Caenorhabditis elegans: one gene and its partners. The protein of the gene in region 2 interacts with the protein of the main gene of each other region in a pairwise test. Each region holds a gene or a part of one and is shown on either strand. Other genes may lie near its edges.

Region 1 (6,301 bases), on a different chromosome or scaffold from region 2:
GGCATCAAGTACGTTTGTGGAATCGATGAGCATCTTCCTCTTGAAATTCTGGATTTCAATCAGAATCGTCTTGAGAAGGTCGAGAATATCCATCAATTGAAGACACTTACAGACTTTTGGGCAAGAGGAAATAAGGTAATATAGATCATTTGATTACATTCCATAACTAATCAATTCTTTGTTAATTTTAGTTGGATAACTGGAGCATTATGGATGAATTGGTTGAACTTCCACAACTCAATAGTGTTTACCTCGATTTCAATCCAATTGCATCAGTGGATACTTATCGTGGAAAGGTTATTCATCTCTTGCAACAAATTACTCGTCTTGATGGAACTCAGTGCCGTGAGGTAATTTAAAACTTAATTAAATTAATCTTCAATTTGTTTTTTAATTTCAGCATTCGATGCTCCGTCCACCAAAAGAAGAGAAGAATGAGACAGAGCTTTCGCGTGTTGTACTTGATAATCCGTCTGATGATCATCCCACTGAGTCCGTCTAATACTTGAACTTTAGCATTTATTCAACTAGATGAAGATTTCTTGATTATTGATATTTTATTAAACAAGGAAGCCGGAAATAAATAAAATAAAAGAGGGAGCGATTTTGAATCGGGGGTTGTTGAAGCTAAAACTTAATAGGGTAATACTGGTAATAGAGAATAAGGGGAAGTGTCCCAACCAATGGTGTATTTCATCAACGGAAGTGAATATCGTGGTGGAAAATTGAATGAATTGAAATCAGACGTGTCAAAAAGTCAAATTAGTTTGATGATTTTTACTTTTTCAGCTCGTCGAGGGCCTTTTGAAGTACGTCGAAAAGAACTGATGGCTTCTGGAAGTCGTTGTCGACGAGAGTAACCAAACGGAACTCATCATGAACAGCCTTGATGACTCCATATGATTTAGATTCTTTTGGATAAAAATCTCCCCTAAAATTAAACAATTAGACAGAACGAGTGATTAGATACCTTACCATTGGGCCATCCACATTTGGTAAGCTTCATCTCTCCATGCGCGGAAAGAGAGTGGATCGACGACTGTTGGCTGGGCAATCTCAGATCCTGGGAATACTCCCCAAGTAACTGCAATCGGAGTGGTTTCTTCGCTGTTGGTCTTGTCGAAGGTACTCTGAAGAAGAATTTATTTTATGGTTTTTAAAATTACTTTTTAAACATACATCCTTATTGATGGCATGGTAGTTAACTCTGACTGGGAATTCTCTCTCGATGATTTGAATGAGCTTGTCGGACAACTCCGCGGTCATGAAGCATTCGAGGTATGCCTTTTGGTAGCAGTAACCTCCTGGTTTTCCCCACCCAACAAGTGGATCAGTGGATGGAGCTCCATTAACTGATGGCTGACTGTTGACGGTCAGAATTCCATTCTCATTACACCAAACAAGTTGTTCACTGATCAATGAAGTTTCTGGCTGAACACCAGTTTCAGCTTCTGTCCATGGAAGTACAGTAACCTTGACGCCATCGGCGTTTGGAGCTTGAGTAATGTAGTTGATGAACACGCGCTTGACGTCTTCAAAACTCTCGATGTTGGCTCCGAACATAGCTAGACGGTCATCGGCGTTTCGAACAGTCTGAAATTTTATCTGTGAGAAAGTTCTAACACAATCTTTGAACGAACCGTCAAATTAGACAAGTAGTAGCTGCTGACATCTCCAAATGCTGGCGATGAACTGTTTCCCCATCTTCCGTTAGGGAATTGATCCCAATCACGAGTTCTGGTGATGTAACTGCGTGGGCGGAAACTCCAGTAAATTGGACGAACACTTTCCAGACATCTGATAGGATGTTGCGAACGATTTTTCCATGGGAAAACACGATCACCCTCGAGTTTCCAGAGACCAAGAGATTTGAGAATTTCACGAATACTTCCTTCACGATTCATAGTGTATAGATGGATGGAAGGGGCAGTTCCATTGTCAAGAAGACGGCGGCACATTTCAATGCAACGCTCTGTTCCGTACTTTTGAACAGCATCATCATCGTGCTTGATTGGTTCGAGATCATCAAGAATATGTTGTGGAATCTCAAGTTGTGAGAGTTTGGCAATACGTTTGATAGACTCATAACCCATAATTGGCATGATTCCCGGAATAATTGGCTGAGTGATTCCAATTTCACGGCAGTCGCGCACAAACTTTTCGAAAGTTTCAGCCTCAAAGAATAATTGAGTAATGACGAAGTTTGCTCCAGCATCACATTTTGCCTTCAAGTACATAAGATCAGCTTTGTAAGACGGAGCTTGTGGATGTCCAAGAGGATATCCTGCGCAACCAATTGAGAAGTAGTTTCCATATTCTTCGCGGATCCAGCGGATCATATCAAGTGCACGGAATTGATGGGTATCTTCGAGCTCAGTCTAAAATTGAAAAATATTATTTAATTTTTTGACAATCTTGTTTCATGATTAACTTACGCCCGGTGGGAGATCTCCTCTCAAAGCAAGAATACTTCTCAATCCCATTGCCTTGGCTTGCTCGAGATGTTTCAAAGTATCAGCTTTATTGTATTGAACACAAGTCATATGCAACATAGTGTCGACTCCACAATAATCAAGCATTGAAGCAGCAATCGAAGACGATGAAGTCACTTTATCGACGTTAGCTGGATCACTTCCCATATGCCATGTCATATCGACAAAGACGGATCCACCTTCGGAAAGACGTTCAACACGCTCTAAGAAGTTTGGAACTCCATTGACAAATCGAGGTGGGAAGAATTCAAGAGAGAAGAATTGTTGTTTCTCATCGATAAGACGTTCAATTCTCTCGTGAAGAAGTTCATAATGCCTGAAATATAAATTTGTTTAGTAATAGCTTTATATCTGATCAAAACTTACTTTGGTGACCAGCTCTTTCCAGATTCCAGAGTTATCTTCTCCTCGACAACCGCATTCTCATCGGTCTCAACACCACTGAAATTCAAAATATTATATTATTCGATCAAAAAACCTGAATCAACAACCCACTTTTTACTTAAAACGGCCATTTCAACTAGAGTCTCCGAGGAAACAAAATTTGTTAGCGACAAATGAAGAAATGTGGCAAACAGGATTCTAAGGGCGGAGTGTTATATATCTTCTCCAGAATCATCATGTGATTCGATATGAATCTCGGGAGAGATCTAGGAACGTAACAATTATGATTTGGACAACTTGTTCTTTGATACTGACACAGTAGGAAAGTACTTTTTTTCAAATTTTTCAGAACTTCGGAAAACAAAAAGCTGATGTTGAACTAATACAGTGCTACATCGAAATAATAATTCACTATCATCAATGATATATTAGCTTTTTCTTGTTTGAAATTTCGGATCGAATAAATTATTTCCCTGTATTTTTCCTTGGAAATTTCTTGCTTGGTGTCTTTTGTTCCACTTAATAGAGAGATACTGATCAAATTGTCTCCTAGAAGGCAAGAAAACACGGTTAGATTTAAATTTGATAGATCAGTATTCGATCTTTTCCGAGTGCAGAGAGAATAATGTGTCGCAGAGGACTAACAAACTTTTTTCTGATAATAGACACGTTTTGTACTCTGCCGTGTTCACCTTCATTGATAAGATATTGTGGGGTGATAAGAGATGAAATCATTAGCAACGATAAGTAATTACTATGTTTCTAAAAGTCAATTAGCTCATTTTTGAAAAAAATACTATTTGTGATTCAAAAGGTTGCAACTTGCAAATATTTTGGACAATTCTAGTATATAAATGCACCATGTTTCTCCGACATTTTTCGTTAAAAATTAGTTTTAAAATATAGGAAATCAATCGATTTAGCTGTAAATATAGTTTACTTCGGATGATAATTTTGAAAAAGTGCTTAAAAATTACTTGGAAGTTGCAAATTGCCGATTGTCGAATTATCAAGCTTTGTTTTTCGGTAATTGGCAACTTTCAGGTCATTTTCTGCATTTTCTCATATGTTTCTTTTTTTTTAACTAAACATTCTAACTTTAGCCATAATCAGCGTGCTTTTTTTTTGAAAATTTCAAGTTCTTGAAATTGAACAGAAATTGTATTTTTTTTTTGAAAGGTTTTCACTCTCAACAATATAAAAATGCCCAAATCACGTGAATATCAATGGTATCCAACAGTTGACACTGATAAGAGATCAGTTTGTGATCGCAGTGGGACAAATGGGTGGTAGACATGTCTTCTGATAAGATAGAGGTCAAGTAGGTAGAATTGGTAGAAAGGAGGCATATTTCAGTGCTTTTTTTAAAAGCATTTTGAGACATAAAAAGATGCTCTAAGTTTAGAAGATTAATATAAAGAACCTACCAATATGGCATTGTGGACAGAGAATCGATCTTCTTAATGGTTCCATGAGATTCAATAACTTTAGTTTCTCCAGTATTCGTCATTTTCCTTGGTTCGTTTTAACCGTAGTTATTCTCTGTCGGGAACCACGAATCCGTTGTTTGATGAGATTCACCGACTGAAATTTGCTCGTATTAAGTCCGATTCTTTTATACAATCAGAGAAAAGGGCGGAGCGTTAAGGTGGCAAACGGTTGGTAAATTGGAAAAAAGAGAAGTCATAGAACTATCAATGTCCGCTAAATGTTCTTAATCTAAGCAAAAATGACAAGAAAATGAGAAACAAACGTGCTTCTGGCATAAAACCACTTGTTTTGTTCAATATTTATATAGAAGGAACATAGCATGCTGGGTCTCTCGTTCTCTCACTAAAGCGTTCGTCGTGGCACTCAGTGCACTTTTGCATACATGAAGCAATACACATTCTCAGCGGGGCGCCGATTCCTTCATAGAAATCGGATTCTTACAAAAGACAAAAAAGATAAATCGAAACATTTTTTGAAAATAGCGGTATTTGAAGCAGAAAAAGTGAGTGGGGAAGTCTTTTAATTTGATAACAAATGAGTATTAACAATATTTTGGTGCATGATGACCTGTGAACGATTTGGTTGGGTTGTTATCGGGGCAACAACAATAATGTTTTGCCAAAAATTTGCCAAATAGTTCAACGTGGAACTTCTCTTTGTTTGTCTTATGCAGTGATGTTTATATGGAGATGCCAGTGCCATGTTGTACGGTACCTGACACGATTAAAAATATGTCAACAAAAACAAGTGTACGCCTTTAAAGAGTACAGTAGTTTCAGCAGTTTGCTGATTTCTTAGTTTTTTATCGTTTCCTGTTTTTTAAGCTTCAATTTTTAATAAACAGTGAGTGTGAAAACTAAGAAAAATTGAACAACGGTACTCCTTAAAACCGCACTCCTCTCCTTTCACTGAAAATTATTGGCCGTTTCGAGACCGGGTACCGTAATTTTTAAACAGCGAAATTTAGCATTTAGGTATTTGCTCTATTATTCAACTTTGAAAATTCTGTTGTTTTCTCAAAACAAAATTTTTTTTTTGTAGTTTTTATAACATATTAAATATTTTCTGATATCTGCAGTCATATAAGTTATTTGGTGCAAGAGTAACTGAGAAAATACGGATGCGTTCTAGAAAAAAAGGATAAGTAAGAAAGTCGTAGATAGTTACTATTTGATAGTATCTCAAGAAAGAATGGGAAACTAAGCAAGACCTTGAACTAATCGTCATTTGAAGAGAACTTTAGCATAGTACGTTTTCAAACGAAAACCACAATTTCTCAATACTGCCTTCCCATCACAAACGAAAATTTTATCCTATAGGATTAAAACCAATTTTCAGTAGAACTACAACAAGATTCTGAAAAGTGCACTCAATGCTTTCACGAATGGGCTACAGCACAAGATGATAACTGTATGAAATAATCATGTAATGCACGATATCAGGCCATTTCAATTGGTCTTTTGCGGCGATTTATCACTGGTGATAATTGGAAGTTGGACAGATAAAAGTATAAGATTGAAAAGATTGAACCAACAGAGATTAATAAAATAACAAAAGTCGGAGATGATAGGCAACTCAGCAGCAAATTTAATTTAATTTTCAAAAAAAAAATTCATGTAGTATAATTTTCATTAAAAAAAATGGTTAGCAAGGAAAATGAAATGATTATGTTTCTTCGTCTTCAATAACTTCCAGCTTAATTTGACTTGTCAACTTTTTCAAATGTTTATCCGTAGCCTCGACTTGTCCATGCCATGCGTGCAGTTTGTTGGCCCATTCATCACTGATTCGAGGTTTCACTTCAACTACGCTGGCCGATTTTCTGTTCTTCTTGTTCGCAGGCGATGTGAATGATTCGTCACTGAATAATTTAATAATTTTTAATTGAAGAAAAAAACAAAAATCTTCACTTACATTTGGGAAGCAGTTATCGG
Region 2 (3,308 bases):
ATTATTATCTGAGTTTAACTTTGATTTCCAGAATCTAAAAATAGTAATTTTTGAAATTCTATTAAAATTGAAAAAAAAAACTTCATGTCAGTGTCCGCTGCATTATGCCATCCACAATATTCCATATCATCGTCAAAATGACATGTAAGCTTTCCACCGTCGGATACAGTTAGCATTGGTTTCACAGGAAATGGGGTAAGAGATGAGATCGAACGAATTTCAGTTGCGGAGTACGGTAGATTTGATGTGAGGTAGTCAAAGTCAATTGCATTTTCACTTGTACGTTGTAGGGATGAGACTCCGCGAGCTCTGGCTCTTCGAGATGAAAATTGACTGTACTGAGAGCTCAGGGAGTGACAAGCAAAACTGGTATCTGAATTAATTTGAAGGTCATATCTAGCTAAACTTTTGATTTGAATTACCGCGCTTTTGTCTCTAAACCACACCTATTTTTCTGTGCCGCACTTTGCATTTTTACATTTTAGACGCAAAATGGTTCTAATCCGTGTTCCAATTTTCAATATAGAAAAAGCCCTACAAAATGAGCGATTTTTCTAAAATCCCAAAAATTAAATTTTAAATTTTGAATAACCTCAAGAGCGACCATTAACAAATTTTCATGATTTTTTAAATAAAAAAGGACAGAAAAAATTTGGTAGAAAAAAAGATTTCAAATCCAAAACTTTTTAAAAACTCACTCAAACCATAAAGTAGCAATATCAAGACATATATATTAAGTACCATACTTCATGAAGAAAATAGTTTGAAAACATATAAATTTCGATTTCAAATCGCCTTTCTCAAAGTTCAATGAGCGTGTGGTATTGCGTACTCCCGAGAATGAATATGAACTACTGGTAAATTGCCTAATTAGGTACGGTGTTTCACTGTCGAGAGTCACAAGAGAAAGTGGGTCAGTGGGTAAGAAAAGTGAATGAGAGGAAAGATATTTATTATTCAATAGACATGATTGAAAAATGAAACTAGAGATTTTCAAAGACAGAGCTTTGTAGTATAGCCTTGCCAGATTTAAACAGGAATTTCTAAGATATTGAAGTCAGGGAATCGGCCACCACCATCAGTAGACAACATTTTAAATTTTAAATATTCAATTCCTCAAAAATTAGATTCAAAATTTAATTCGACGTTTTCAATCACGTTTTCGCAATTTTCGTTCAATTTCGTGTAATATTTACTTGTTCACAGTTCTCTTCGTGGATTTTGAGTGTCTTTTTTTCGAAATTATTTTGAGGATCTTACGCAGTTTTCACCAGAAGAATTACATAATTCCATGGAATTCCATGCCTGGAAATTTCTTTCACTTTTTGCCGCCAGGTATACGGTAAGCAATTGCGCGTAAAGTGTGGTGTATGCGTACTCGCTTATTTTGTCATCCTTTCAAATTTAGAACTCATTTCAGAGGTTTTCTTTCGACTTCTAAATATTTTTTCTTTGTTTCTGTGGATTTAAATAAACTCCATATGTTTTTCTAACTCTTGGTTCATCTTGAATCACACTCTCTGCTTATAAAACTGCAAAAAATGGCTAAAAACTTCAATAAATTGTAATTAAGAGCTTTTAGGTTTGAACCATGTTCCGCAACCAATACGACGGCGATGTAACAGTCTGGAGCCCACAGGGACGTCTTCACCAAGTCGAATATGCCGTTGAGGCGATGAAGCAAGGTTCGGCAACTGTTGGAATCAAGAGTGAAACCCACGCTGTCATCGTCGCCCTGAAGGTTGGCGAAACAACATGTTAATTTCAATTAATTATATTCGTTTCAGAGAGCGCAAAACGATTTGTCGTCTCATCAGAAGAAAGTGTACGAAATTGACACTCACGCTGGAGTTTCCATCGCTGGTCTCCTCTCCGATGGTCGCATCTTGGCTCGCTACCTCCAAACCGAGTGCTCGAGTTGGCGTTGGGATTACAAGCAAGCGGTTCCAATCAAGAAGCTCGCTGAATCTATGCAATTGAGTAAGCGAATTTTGGAAGCAATTTTCTCAAGACATTGTTCTTATTTCAGAACTTCAAGCCAATACACAATATTATGGCCGTCGTCCATTCGGAGTTGGAATTCTGATTGCCGGATATGACGTAAGAACATCATAAATATAATTGTTCTTTTAAATATTTTTTTGTTCAGAAAGATGGAGCACACATCATTCAAACTGACCCATCTGCTGAAGTCGTCAGCATGCATGGAACTTCAATCGGAGCAAGATCTCAGTCTGCGCGCACTTACCTCGAGAGAAATGTTGATAACTTCGAGAAATGTATTTATTTCGGAATATAATTGATAAAATTGAGCAATTTCTTTTTTCAGCAACTCCGGAACAATTGATTGTCCATGCTCTCCTTGCTCTTCGCGACACACTTCCAGCCGAAGAAAACCTCAACGCTCAGAATACGTCTATTGGAATTGTCGGGAAAGATTCTCCATTCAGTCTTCTCGAAGATGCTCAAGTCGCCGTTCATCTCAACCAAGTTTCCACACATCCACGCACAACTGGCGGAGCAGCAGCAGCAGCAGCTCCAGGTGGCGCCGAACCAATGCAAATGTAGATTCTAATTTGAATCACAGACCATGTGAATTACTTTCGTCTCCATTTCTTTTTTATGTGACCCGTATAATTTATCGCCGGTTAATCTCCCTCTCGTTCCCGAATTAAATTATTTTCCTGCTCCAAAAGATTGATTACATATTAATTTCCTTTTTCCGTTCAACAGTCATGTATATGTTGCAGAAAGAACATTAAAGGAAGCACTTCTCGTCATTCGCGTCCATGCCTTCTGTCCATTAATGATGGATGTCTGCGCCGTAGTACACCACGCACCCGCCGTCTTCCGCTATTCCCCGGCGAGCTGCTCCACGGCATTATTCCATAGTTCTTCTCTTCAGTGTTCCATACACTACTACATCACTCAAATTGTAAATCAGCGAAGAAAGGGGAGCAAAAGAAGAAGAAGGGGAGGAGTGTGTGTGATGCAAGAGAGAAGAGTTTCAAATTTCGTCGAATTGAGATTGAAATCTTCTTTGTCGCAGTCAACTCTTTTCTTCGACCCACTTCTGCCTTTTTTTGTTTTTCGATTGGAGCTCTTGACAATTTTTATACATTTTTCTTCATTTAAAAATCCACAAATAGGTAAAAAAGGGAAGTAGGATTTACGGATCTACTGGAAGTTGTTTTTCTAACAAGCGGTTTTGCTTATTATGATCACGAGCAAAACCAAAAATGTTTCCCAAGCGAACCACAATCAATGCCCGACACCATTGTGTGTGCCGCTTCTGAATGAACTGAATA
Region 3 (6,909 bases), on a different chromosome or scaffold from region 2:
GCGCGGGAATTCAAATGTTTCAAATTTAATTCGGTCGTTTCTATGAATTTTGAAATATGTAAAAATTCACTAAAAGTTTAGGACATTTTTGAAAAAATTTTCACAGTCATATTTGGTCATATATTCTAGGCGTATATTCTGTAATTTAAAGCGAAAAATTGTTTAAAAATTTTTCAGTATCAATAATCAAATTCATTCTAATCAATCGATGTTACGTCTATGCAAAACGAATCGAGAATGGGATGCTGGTTAGACAGTCGGATTTAACAAATGTGATGAAGTTTTGAAAGTTCCTTGGAAACACGTGGTGCCAGGCTGTCCCACCACGGTTTGATCTACAAAAAATGCGGCAATTTTTTGCCAAAAAAAGTGTGACGTCAGCACGTTCTTAACCATGCGAAATCAGTTGAGAACTCTGCCGCATTTTTTGTAGATCTACGTAGATCAAACCAACATGGGACACTCTGACACCACACGTTCTGAAATAAATACTTTTTTTTTCTTGATTTGCAAATACAAATTCAACAGCGAATAATTTTATTTACAAACCTGCACGCGTAAAAGATGGGATGATGATGATGATGGAAAATAATCGGGGGAGGACGAATTGTATAACAATTATTACATTCGAAAATTATTTTTTTTTAGCTCAGCTCAAAATTAAAATTCTCAAACAATCAGTGGTTTCAATGGTTTCTGAGTGGTTGCTGCTGTCTCAGCCCCTGCTGCCTCGAGAGCCTCACGTGGTGGATTGTTCTCGAAGAATTTGAGAACAGCTGCGAATGGATCCAACTCCTTCTCATGATTATCTTCAGATGATGTATGTTCAGCATCTTCTTCAGATTCCATTGGTTCAGGTGTTGTGGTGCGTTCTTCGATTCTTGGGAAGCTGTCCTCAATCACAATTGCTCCCTTTCCTTCGAGTTCTGGCTCTTCGGTGGTTGATGGGGTGGCTGAGTTGAGCTCTTTGTTGGCCGCCTGGAATATTACTCATTATGCCTCAGTGAGCACAAAACAGGGGTGGGCCGGAAATTGCCGTTCGGCAAATTTGGCAAATTGCCGGTTTGTCAATTTGCCGGAAATTTTGATTTTCGGAAAATTGCTGATTTGCCGTTTACCGAACATCAATTTGCCGGAAATTTTTAGAGAAATTTTTTATAAGACGGAAACACTTGCCTTTTTGAAATTCAAATTTTTGCCGGTTTGCCGATTTGCCAGAAATTTTAATTCCGGCAAATTGTGGTTTTGCACTTTTTTTTGGCAATTTCAGAACTTCAGAATTACAATATTAGTCGGCAAAATTGTACCGTGCCGACTATATATAAATAAACAATCTTTCTAAACACTTCCGGCAAATTGATATCCGGCAACTCGGCAAACCGGCAGAGAGCCGGAATTGAAATTTTCGGCAAATAGGTGAATTGCCCGAATTAAAACTTTTGGCAAATCGGCAAACTGCTGGAACCAGATCCGCAAATTGCCTGAACTTAAATTTTTGACAAATTGCCGAAATAGAAAATTTCCTGCAAATCGGCAAACTGGCAAAGTGCCGAAAATGAAAATTTCCGGAAAATTGGCAAACTGCCGGTATTGTAATTTCCGGTCAATCGGAAAATCGACAGATTGCCGGAACTCAAACTTCCGGCAAATTGGCAAATTGCCGGAATTGAAAATTTTCGGCAAATTGGCAAACCGGCAAGTTGCCGAAATAGAAAATTTCCTGCAAATCGGCAAACTGGCAAAGTGCCGAAAATGAAAATTTCCGGCAAATCGGCAAAATTTCCGGCAAATCGGCAGCAAATTGGTAAACCGGCGATTCGCCGATTTGCCGATTTGCCGAACCAACATGTTCCTGATGTACAAACCTCTGAATTCTTTTGCTCATCGAAAGCTGAGAAGATATCTCTGAGAATAGTATCAGAAACCTCAGCGGCATCCTCTGGCATTGGTGTGCTGCTCGTGACAACTGCTGGGAATGCAGTGTTGATGGGTGAAGCTGTGACGTCAGCAGTTCCAGATGCAGCTTCTGGAGCTGGAGTTGGAGTGATTGCTGTCCCTGATACAAGATTAATTGAAATTTTTGGGCTTTTTGCAAAAAAAACAACTAACAGATTTGACGAGTTGGTGCGTTGACTGGAATGTTCTGCGACTTCTTCTGAAGTTCCTCGTAGATCTTATCGTGAACTGATGGTTGTGGGATTGGTTGGAAGAATTGTGGAGCCTGTGGGAAACGGTCCTCAGGTTGTTGGGTCTGTTGTGGTTGCTGCTGATGCTGCTGTTGTTGTTGGGATGGGAAGAAGAATTGTTGGGGTGGTTGCTGGAATTTTTTTGATGGTTTTTTGACAAAAAAAATAGTGAAAATTTTTATCGGTTTCAGATCCCGAAAACTAAGCAAAAAACAGAGGTGGGCGGCAAACGATTTTTTTCGGCAAGCCGGCGAATTGCCGGAATTCACAATCTCTGGCTTATCGGCAAGTTGCCGGAATTAAGATTTTCCGGCACACCGGCGAAGTGCCGGAACTGAAATTTCCGGCAAGTCGACAAACTGCCGGAATTGAAAATTTCAGGCAAATCGGCAAATTGCAGGAATTGATAACTTCCGGCACATCAGCAAATTGCCGATATTAAAAATTTCCGGCAAATCGACAAACTGCCGGAATTGATAATTTCAGGCAAATTGCCGGAATTAAAAATTTCATGCAAATTGACAAATTTCCGGAATTGAAAATTTCCGGCAAATCGACAAACTGCCGGAATGGAAAATTTCCGGCAAACCGGCGAACTGCCGGAATTCATAATTTCAGGCAAATCTAAAAATTGCCGGAATTGAACATTTCCGGCAAATCGGCAAATTGCCAAAATTTACAATTTCCGGCAAATCTGCAAAATGCCGGAATTGATAATTTCAGGCAAATCGGAAAACTGTCGGAATTGAAAATTTCAGGCGAATCGGCAAATTACCGGAATTGGAAATTCCCGGAAAACCGACAAGTTGCCGGAATCAAAAGTTTCCGGCAAATCGGCTAACCGGCAAATTGCCGATTTTCAGTTGCCAATTTACTCAAAAAAAATTTGCCGAACTGCAATTGCCGCCCACCCCTGATCCAAATACGACGAAAAATTTTCGAAGTTTTTTGAAAAAAATTATGAAAAAAAAAAGCAAAAATTCAAATTTTTCAAAATGGAAAATGTGTCTAAAATCCAAATGCCAAAAAATTCGTAGCCCATCATCTAAAAATCTACAAATCGCCTTACCTGCCAGACAGTTGGTCTCTCCCATTGTTGCTGATGCATCATTGGTCTTGGCCAGAATCTCTGTCTCTGCTGCTCCTGTGGCTGTTGCTCCTGCTGTTGCCATTGGGCCTGGGCCTGAGCCTGCTGAGTCTGAGCCTGCATCTCCAACTGATGTTGTTGCCAGAAAGCTTGAGCACGCTGCTGTTGAGCATAGGTCTGTTGAGCCTCGTACTGACGACGTTGTTCCTCTTCATAGCGGGATCTCTCGGCCCATTGCTGACGGGCGGCCTCTTCCTGCATCTGTTGCTGTTGTTGTTGCATGTAGGCCATCTTCATTTGTTGTTGTTGGTAGTAGGCGGCTTGAAGTCTTCTCATTCTCATCATTCGCATTGCCATCATTTGTTGCATGTACATACGTTCCTCCATTATTTGTTGGAATTGTTGGCGGGCCTCCATCATTCGGTATTGCTGAAAAAATTGCTTTTATTGATTTATTAGACTCAAAATTGTCTGAAAATATCGAATTTCTTAATGAAACTTCTTAAAAACCTCTTGAAAAAAAAGTTATGGCAGCTCAAAAAATGGCCTAAAATTTTTAAAGCAGTTTAGCTGGCTTGAGGCGGGTAGGCATTCCCTTCAGGCAGGCCCTGGAACCGCGCCTGTCTATGGAAGCCCTACATATGCATATATATATATATATATATATATATATATATATATATATATATATATATATATATATATATATTTATATATATATATATATACAAATCCATATTTATGTATATATATGGTATAATTTGGTAACTAACCTCAATCTCATCTGGATGAAGTGGGCGATCCAAATTGGTAGAGGACTTCTCCTCAACTGATCCATCAACAGTTGTCTTCTTTTGACCTTCATTATTCGAAATATCCTCCACTACAACTACCCGAGCCAAGGGAATTGCCATCATTCCTGGATTTTCCGCAGAGTTTATAGTCTTTTCAGATGATCCATCAATTGGTTGAGCTAGAAGTGCCTCCATTTGTGGCTTGTTCACGGATGTTTCGGTTTTCTGGAATATCAATTAATTAAGTTTAAAAAAGCTTAAAATTAAAAAAAAACCCTGTACCTTGAAGAGATCAGGAGTAGCGGCGAGGAAGTAGAAACCGATGAGTGTCACCAGCAAAAGACACGTGGCAAAGAACATGCAATGGAAGCATGCTCTCATCGCCTGGAAAGCTGGCGATGGAGCAGGCTTCATTGGTGGAGCCGGCATTGGGATCACTGTGGGCTGGAGGACTGTGAACACCTGGAATAATTCAGATTTTGTTGATATTTCTACTAACGTTATTATTATTATTGTTACCGAATATATTCTTTGTGAGAAAATTTGAATTTCGCGCCAAAAAATGTTCTCAGAAAATTTGAATTTCGCGCCAAAAATTATTCTCGGATAATTTAAATTTCGCGGCAAAATACGTTTTCTCATAAAGTTTGAATTTCGAGTCAAATGTATTTTCTCATAAAACTTTAAATTAGCGCCAAAAAAATTTCTAATAAAATTTGAACTTCGCGCCAATATACGTTTTCTCAGAAAATTTGATTTTCCAGCTAAAATTTTTTTGTGAAAAATTTTGAATTTCGAGGCAAACTGTTTTTACACGTGGTGCCGGGCTGCCCCATCACGGTTTGATCTACAAAAAATGCAGGAACTTTTTTGCCCAAAAAACATGACGTCAGCCATGTTCTTAACCATGCGAAATCAGCTGAGAAGCCTGCGTCTGAAATCCCGCATTTTTTGTAGATCTATGTAGATCAAGCCGAAATGGGACACTCTGACACTACGACTTGTTACTCATAAAATTTGTAATTCGCGCCAAAACGTGATCTCTTAAAAAAAATTCGAATTTCCAGCTGAAATTTTTTTATGAGAAAATTTGAACTTCGCACTAAAAACAGTTCTCAGAAAATTTGAATATTTTTAATAGAAACTCACTTTTGGATCGATCTTGATAGACTCCTTCTCAACGTCCTCACTCCCGTGAACGCCGGGCTGTGCGCCTAGTTTGGTCATCTGTAAATGATTCTTGATTAGATATTCGAGTAAAAGACAAAAACAAAAAAAAGAGAAGAGATCAATGCGCACAATAGGAGAATTAGAGAAGCGGCTCACTTTCTCTCGCGGAGCATTAAACATTTTTGACAGGTTGGCATTCACGACTCTTCCGCGCGGTGTAGGAAAATGAACAAAAAATGATCTCCCGATGTTTTGATAGGAAGTGACACCAAGTTTTGAAGAAACACACAAAACGAGTTTTTAAAATAGCCGGCCACTTGGTTACTGTACACTTGAGAGAGGAATGACGTCATTCGTTTTTGTTTTTGACCAGAAAATCTCGATCAGATGATGATAAAGATTTCTGTGAAAAATTTTAAAATGATAAAGGATACTTTGATTTTTGATTTCTTTTCCATTTTTTGCAGCAAGGGTTTAAGGGCAGAGTATAATATACAAAGTTTGATGGTTCAGGTAAAAATAGGTAGGATGTGTTAATTCAAATGCGGAGGGTTTATTTTTCTCTTATTATAAATATTAATGTGCCTGCATACAAGGTGGAGTACGGCCTAAAATGAACAAATATCATAGTAAAGCTATTAATATAATTTCGGAACATTTTTCATTTTGAGTTAAAAAAAAAGTTCTGATTCCAGTTTTATGCTTTAATTATTTTTGAAATATTCATACATGCTGCAGATTCTTCGAAAAAATGTCTACATTTTTTTGAAATGTTTTAGTATGATTTTTGGTATTTTTAGCGCTCTGCATGATTTTTAAAAAATGTGAGTTATAATAATTTTTTTTGTAAATTTTGTGATTTTTAGTTAGTTAAACTCATATCGAGAACTGTCTTAAAACGAAAAAATTGGTGAGAAAAAGCCCGTTTGCTCTAAAAAATATTCATTTAGAACTAGTATTGGTGGGCGGCAAACTGCCGGTTTGCTGATATTCCGGAATTTTCGATTTTCGGCAAATTTCCGATTTGCCGGAAGTTTTTAGAGGGCTTTTTTATGAGACTGATAGTGAAACACGAAATTTCGAACAAAAAAAAAATGCAAAACCACAATCTGTCCGACAATTGCCGTTTTTCTGGAAAATGCGGCAAATCGGCAATTTGCCGGTTTACCGACTTGCTGAAAATTTCAATTCCGGCAATTCGCCAATTTGGCGGAAAAATTATTTACCGCCCAACCCTGATACATGCAACACTAACAGGGAAGTATGTATATACAGAAGTTTACGATACATACCGTATTTCCTCTATTAGTTTTGCACCCGCTTGCTCAACTTTGACAGCTCATATCTCAGTAGTTCTTTGTTCCATAGAAAAGTTGTCAACTGATAAAATTTTTGTGAGATGTTTTTCTATAGTTTGTAGTTTGTTAATTATTTATATGTTCAAAACAAAATGAGATATGAGCTGTCAAAGTTGAGCAAAGGGGTGCAAAACTAAAAGAGGAAATACGGTATATTCCAAATTATTTTTGTCCTATTATAAGTTATTATCGGTTTTTAATGTGGTTGCCACAATTTTAAATATTCTCCGATCAGAATTACAGTATTCCCCTCCCCCCCCCCCCACCTACGCTTGCCTACTTATTTTATTATTTCTTATTTCTCCCCCACTCTT
Region 4 (3,609 bases), on a different chromosome or scaffold from region 2:
AAATTTTTATTCTTCAGCATTACTATATTATCCAGATAATTTTGCGATTTTCGTCATGCTAATACGATACCCGGTCTCGATACGGCAAAGTTTTTGATAGATCCAAAGAGGTGTGCGCCTTTAAAGAGTACTGTAATTTCAGATTTTCGTTGTTATGGAATTTGCATCGATTTTTCATAGTTTCAGATAAATAAATAAATATTTAAATATCGAAAAACTAATAAAAGTCTAAAAATTCGAAGTACAGTACACTTTAAAGGCACACACCTTTCAGAATTTAACAATTGTAGCGTCGAGACCGGGAACCGTACTTTCTGGGTAAAAATTGCACAATTTCGCAACAAAAACTAACCTGCAGGTTTACAAACCGCACTTTTTGAATGAAGAACTGTCAGAATCACGAACACGATTGTAGTGATGATTCCGATACCTCCGAAGACAGCCGAAACTATCATTAGCATGCTAGATGGCAAAATAAAGTGCTTTTCACTCATCTTTTTGATGAATGAGCGTTTTTAAAAACTCGAAATGAATAGTTTTGGGTTCCACGTTATTTTTTATTTTTGTAAAAGAAAAAAACCAATCATAATTATAAAAAACAAAACAAGAACAAATTAATTTAATTTGATTGAATTAAATACACGTTCAAATAAATTTCTACCCTCAGATATACATTTTAATGAGTTCTTCTCCAACAGCTTCAGGCTTCATTGCGCCGACATCAGTAATGATCAGTGTCAGAAATTCGGGTGCGGTGTAATCCACATCGGGATGCTCCAATTCTAGGTTGTTTCTCTCAATTACTGATGTTCGATACTGAAATAATGAAAGATCTGATTGAGTTATTTGATATAAATTGATTACTTTGAATTCTTGGGGAATATCGGCCTGGTTGAGTGGGAACTCCCGTACAAACTTGATAGTTTCAGCGCAAACATAGACGGGAACATGCCGTGATTTTGCGATGATACAAACATTAACAGTTCCAATTTTATTGATGATTCCACCGGTTTCCATGACTCCTTCAGCGCCAACTAGAACTGCTTGAATTCTTTCCATGACATATCTTAAAAAATAAAAAATGTATATACGTTTTTCTTATTGTTTTTTATAATTTCCACTCACCCCACACAGCTATCTAGAACTAAAGTAGTTGGAACTCCATTCTTTTTCAATTCTTCAAACACTAGTTTTCCTGAAGCATCCGGTTGCGATTCGGTGACCCAGACATGAAGGTGATATCCACTTTTGTGAGCATCAAGAATAGTTTCCAGAACCACTTTGCTGTATGAGTGTGTCAGAATATTCTAGAAAATACAAAGATTAAAATACATTAAATAGGAATTATTTAAATAGAAAAAAAAACGTACCATATGATGAGTGAAAAATAGACGAGCGCACTTGGAAATTTTGGCTCGAGAACCTCTGACATTCTTTATAAATGAGCGTGCTCGTTGGCGATACAGATCAAGAACTTGAGAAAAATCTTCTTGATCGAGAAGAGCAGCTGGAGCCAGAGAAGTGAATCTGGTGAACAAATCAGCGGCACTTCGAATTGATGTTGAGCTGTAGTCCGTTTTCTCGAGAGCAGCAACTACTTGATTTAGCTCATTTTGAAATTCGGCAACGGTGGTGGCTGTAATTAAGCAAAAAATTAATTGCCTAAATATTCAAATTCAGGAACTTACCGCGACTCCGGTCTAAAACCTCGAGCAGTGTTTCCACTGTGGCTAGACTCGTTGATTTGCTTGGATCGTTTTCAAGTTTTCCACGGAAAGATGAAATAATGCTTTCTTGAACCATGTTAGATGGAAAAAGTCTGCAAAAACAATAATGGAGAACGTTTGTCGTAGAAAGAAGAAATATTTATAGAAAAAATTTAATGAAAAAATAATGATGTAAACGCGCTCTATCGTTACGCAGAGAAGATAAGAGTTAGAGAGTTAGACAGTTTTGATAGTGGCAAATTTAAAAACAAAACATTTTTTTACTTATGTATTTAAAAGGTTTCGTGAAATTTAATTTATTTTCTCAATCTCGAATAAACATTTTAAACATATTTTTTGAGTCAGTCAGTTTACTTTCTACTCTCAACTATTTACGCATCTAAAATCTCCCATTGTGTGGCGAACTAAATAGGATAATAAATAATAATTTTCCTTTTCGAAACTTTTATACTATAATTAATTCCCTCAATTTGCTCCATAATCTCCATTAATTTTCCTCGTGTAATTGCTTCGTAGATCATTTGAATCGCCGCCGTGATACAGTACTATTCGCTAACCTGCACATCTTAAATACCATCGACAATTTTTTAAAAATTCATTTTCCATTTTGTTCATTGATTTCTTGGTTCTTTTTCCATTATTTTTGCCTCAATTTGTGCAAAAAGTGCTGGATATCGAATAATCCACAACGCTTTTCTGTTGTTCTTTCGGTTTTTGGGCCGTTTCTAGATTTTCCTCTCCGTAATACGAATTCTCGTGGGGAAACACGTTTTCCTTGTTCTTTGATTAATTTCTTTTGTACTAACTTTTCGACAAATATTTATTTATACTTTTTACAGAATCAAGCTTGTCCGTTTCGAAAATGGAAGAAGAACCGTACAAAAGAAAGCTAACGAAAGCCGAGAAAAAGGCAAAATATCGAACAGACTACGCCGAACCGTTGAAGTCACGCCGGGAAGTTCTGAAAGCAATTATGAATGGACCCGAGTCTGAGCGGGAGAGAAAAGTTCGAGCCAAAAATCGAGAATTTTTCAACGAGGACTATAGATCAGGTAAACATTTTAAAGTTCTTTTATTATTAAAAACTTTAAAAAACCCTCATTCATAATCTATACATTTAAAGGAGTCAACATCTACGGAATGGCTGTGGATATGATGAAAGCGATGCCGGATAGAGGAAAAACATCGGGACAAAGTTTGGCGGTTTGGTATCTGGAGGATTTTGGAGTTTGGTTAAAAGAGTCGGGACAGGAGACGGAGCTCAGACAGAAATATCTGACTGGAACTATTCAAATAAACGCCTTAGATGTGTGCACAATTGGACAAAAGCAGCTTCTCAGTGAAATCTTCGATATCACCAAAGAGAAATTCACTGAGGACATTACACAGTTGCTAGATGCTGCCATCAAGAAACAAGACTTCTCCGTTGCTGCAGATATGGCTATTCAGTACAATCTTCTACGGGATCATCATTTCGAACATCTTGTTCTTCCATTAATGCTATCTGGCAAAGATCAAACGGCTTATAAATTGATAAGTAACAATGAGAGGATGCAACAGCAGCTTGTAGAGTTTTTTGATCGAATGGTTGGAATCTCAGTGGTTGCCGTTGAAGAGATGCTGAAACCCTACAAGGAAACCAAAATTATGACGATTCCTATGGAGAAATTGACGGGAAAAACGTTGGACAAACTCATTTCGACGATTATCAACAAAAATACTCACGAATACAACTTCTCCAGGGAATTGTCGAAGTTCGCCAAAAACCACTCACAGAATGGGAATCTGAAGGCATTGAAGTTTAATATCAGTGAACGATACGAGAAGGGAAAATCCGATGACAACTATTTCCAGCATATGGTTGAAACTTTTACCAAAGCCG

Evidence for each region.
Region 1: the proteins of pas-6 (region 2) and mthf-1 interact in a two-hybrid assay, tested with the Caenorhabditis elegans proteins (3 studies listed by BioGRID).
Region 3: the proteins of pas-6 (region 2) and brp-1 interact in a two-hybrid assay, tested with the Caenorhabditis elegans proteins (3 studies listed by BioGRID).
Region 4: the proteins of pas-6 (region 2) and eif-2Balpha interact in a two-hybrid assay, tested with the Caenorhabditis elegans proteins (4 studies listed by BioGRID).

The regions. Positions count from the first base shown.
Region 1 is NC_003280.10:7,773,364-7,779,664, forward strand, and holds mthf-1 (putative methylenetetrahydrofolate reductase (NADPH)), read right to left. Parts: upstream 4,461-6,301; 5' UTR 4,387-4,460; coding exon 4,304-4,386; intron 3,143-4,303; exon of another isoform or gene 3,008-3,142; coding exon of another isoform or gene 2,988-3,007; intron 2,934-2,987; coding exon 2,859-2,933; intron 2,809-2,858; coding exon 2,436-2,808; intron 2,379-2,435; coding exon 1,641-2,378; intron 1,594-1,640; coding exon 1,180-1,593; intron 1,131-1,179; coding exon 976-1,130; intron 932-975; coding exon 778-931; 3' UTR 545-777; downstream 1-544. Other genes in the region: C06A8.6 (U2A'/phosphoprotein 32 family A C-terminal domain-containing protein), read left to right, coding at 1-135, 192-350, 401-502; snpc-1.1 (snRNA-activating protein complex subunit 1), read right to left, coding at 6,033-6,228, 6,282-6,301.
Region 2 is NC_003283.11:5,582,618-5,585,925, reverse strand, and holds pas-6 (Proteasome subunit alpha type-1), read left to right. Parts: upstream 1-1,582; 5' UTR 1,583-1,591; coding exon 1,592-1,741; intron 1,742-1,787; coding exon 1,788-1,980; intron 1,981-2,029; coding exon 2,030-2,100; intron 2,101-2,149; coding exon 2,150-2,279; intron 2,280-2,329; coding exon 2,330-2,568; 3' UTR 2,569-2,765; downstream 2,766-3,308. Other genes in the region: CD4.11 (MAM domain-containing protein), read right to left, coding at 1-34, 82-373, 699-744. UniProt on the Caenorhabditis elegans protein: The proteasome is a multicatalytic proteinase complex which is characterized by its ability to cleave peptides with Arg, Phe, Tyr, Leu, and Glu adjacent to the leaving group at neutral or slightly basic pH.
Region 3 is NC_003281.10:12,018,937-12,025,845, reverse strand, and holds brp-1 (uncharacterized protein), read right to left. Parts: upstream 5,295-6,909; coding exon 5,217-5,294; intron 4,530-5,216; coding exon 4,350-4,529; intron 4,293-4,349; coding exon 4,047-4,292; intron 3,703-4,046; coding exon 3,256-3,702; intron 2,318-3,255; coding exon 2,110-2,317; intron 2,057-2,109; coding exon 1,866-2,056; intron 979-1,865; coding exon 670-978; 3' UTR 525-669; downstream 1-524. Other genes in the region: Y79H2A.12 (Serpentine Receptor, class BC (Class B-like)), read left to right, coding at 178-287.
Region 4 is NC_003281.10:9,541,336-9,544,944, reverse strand, and holds eif-2Balpha (Translation initiation factor eIF2B subunit alpha), read right to left. Parts: upstream 1,827-3,609; 5' UTR 1,804-1,826; coding exon 1,689-1,803; intron 1,637-1,688; coding exon 1,371-1,636; intron 1,308-1,370; coding exon 1,126-1,307; intron 1,067-1,125; coding exon 865-1,066; intron 817-864; coding exon 664-816; 3' UTR 541-663; downstream 1-540. Other genes in the region: ZK1098.9 (uncharacterized protein), read right to left, coding at 353-494; Exonuclease mut-7, read left to right, coding at 2,590-2,779, 2,851-3,609.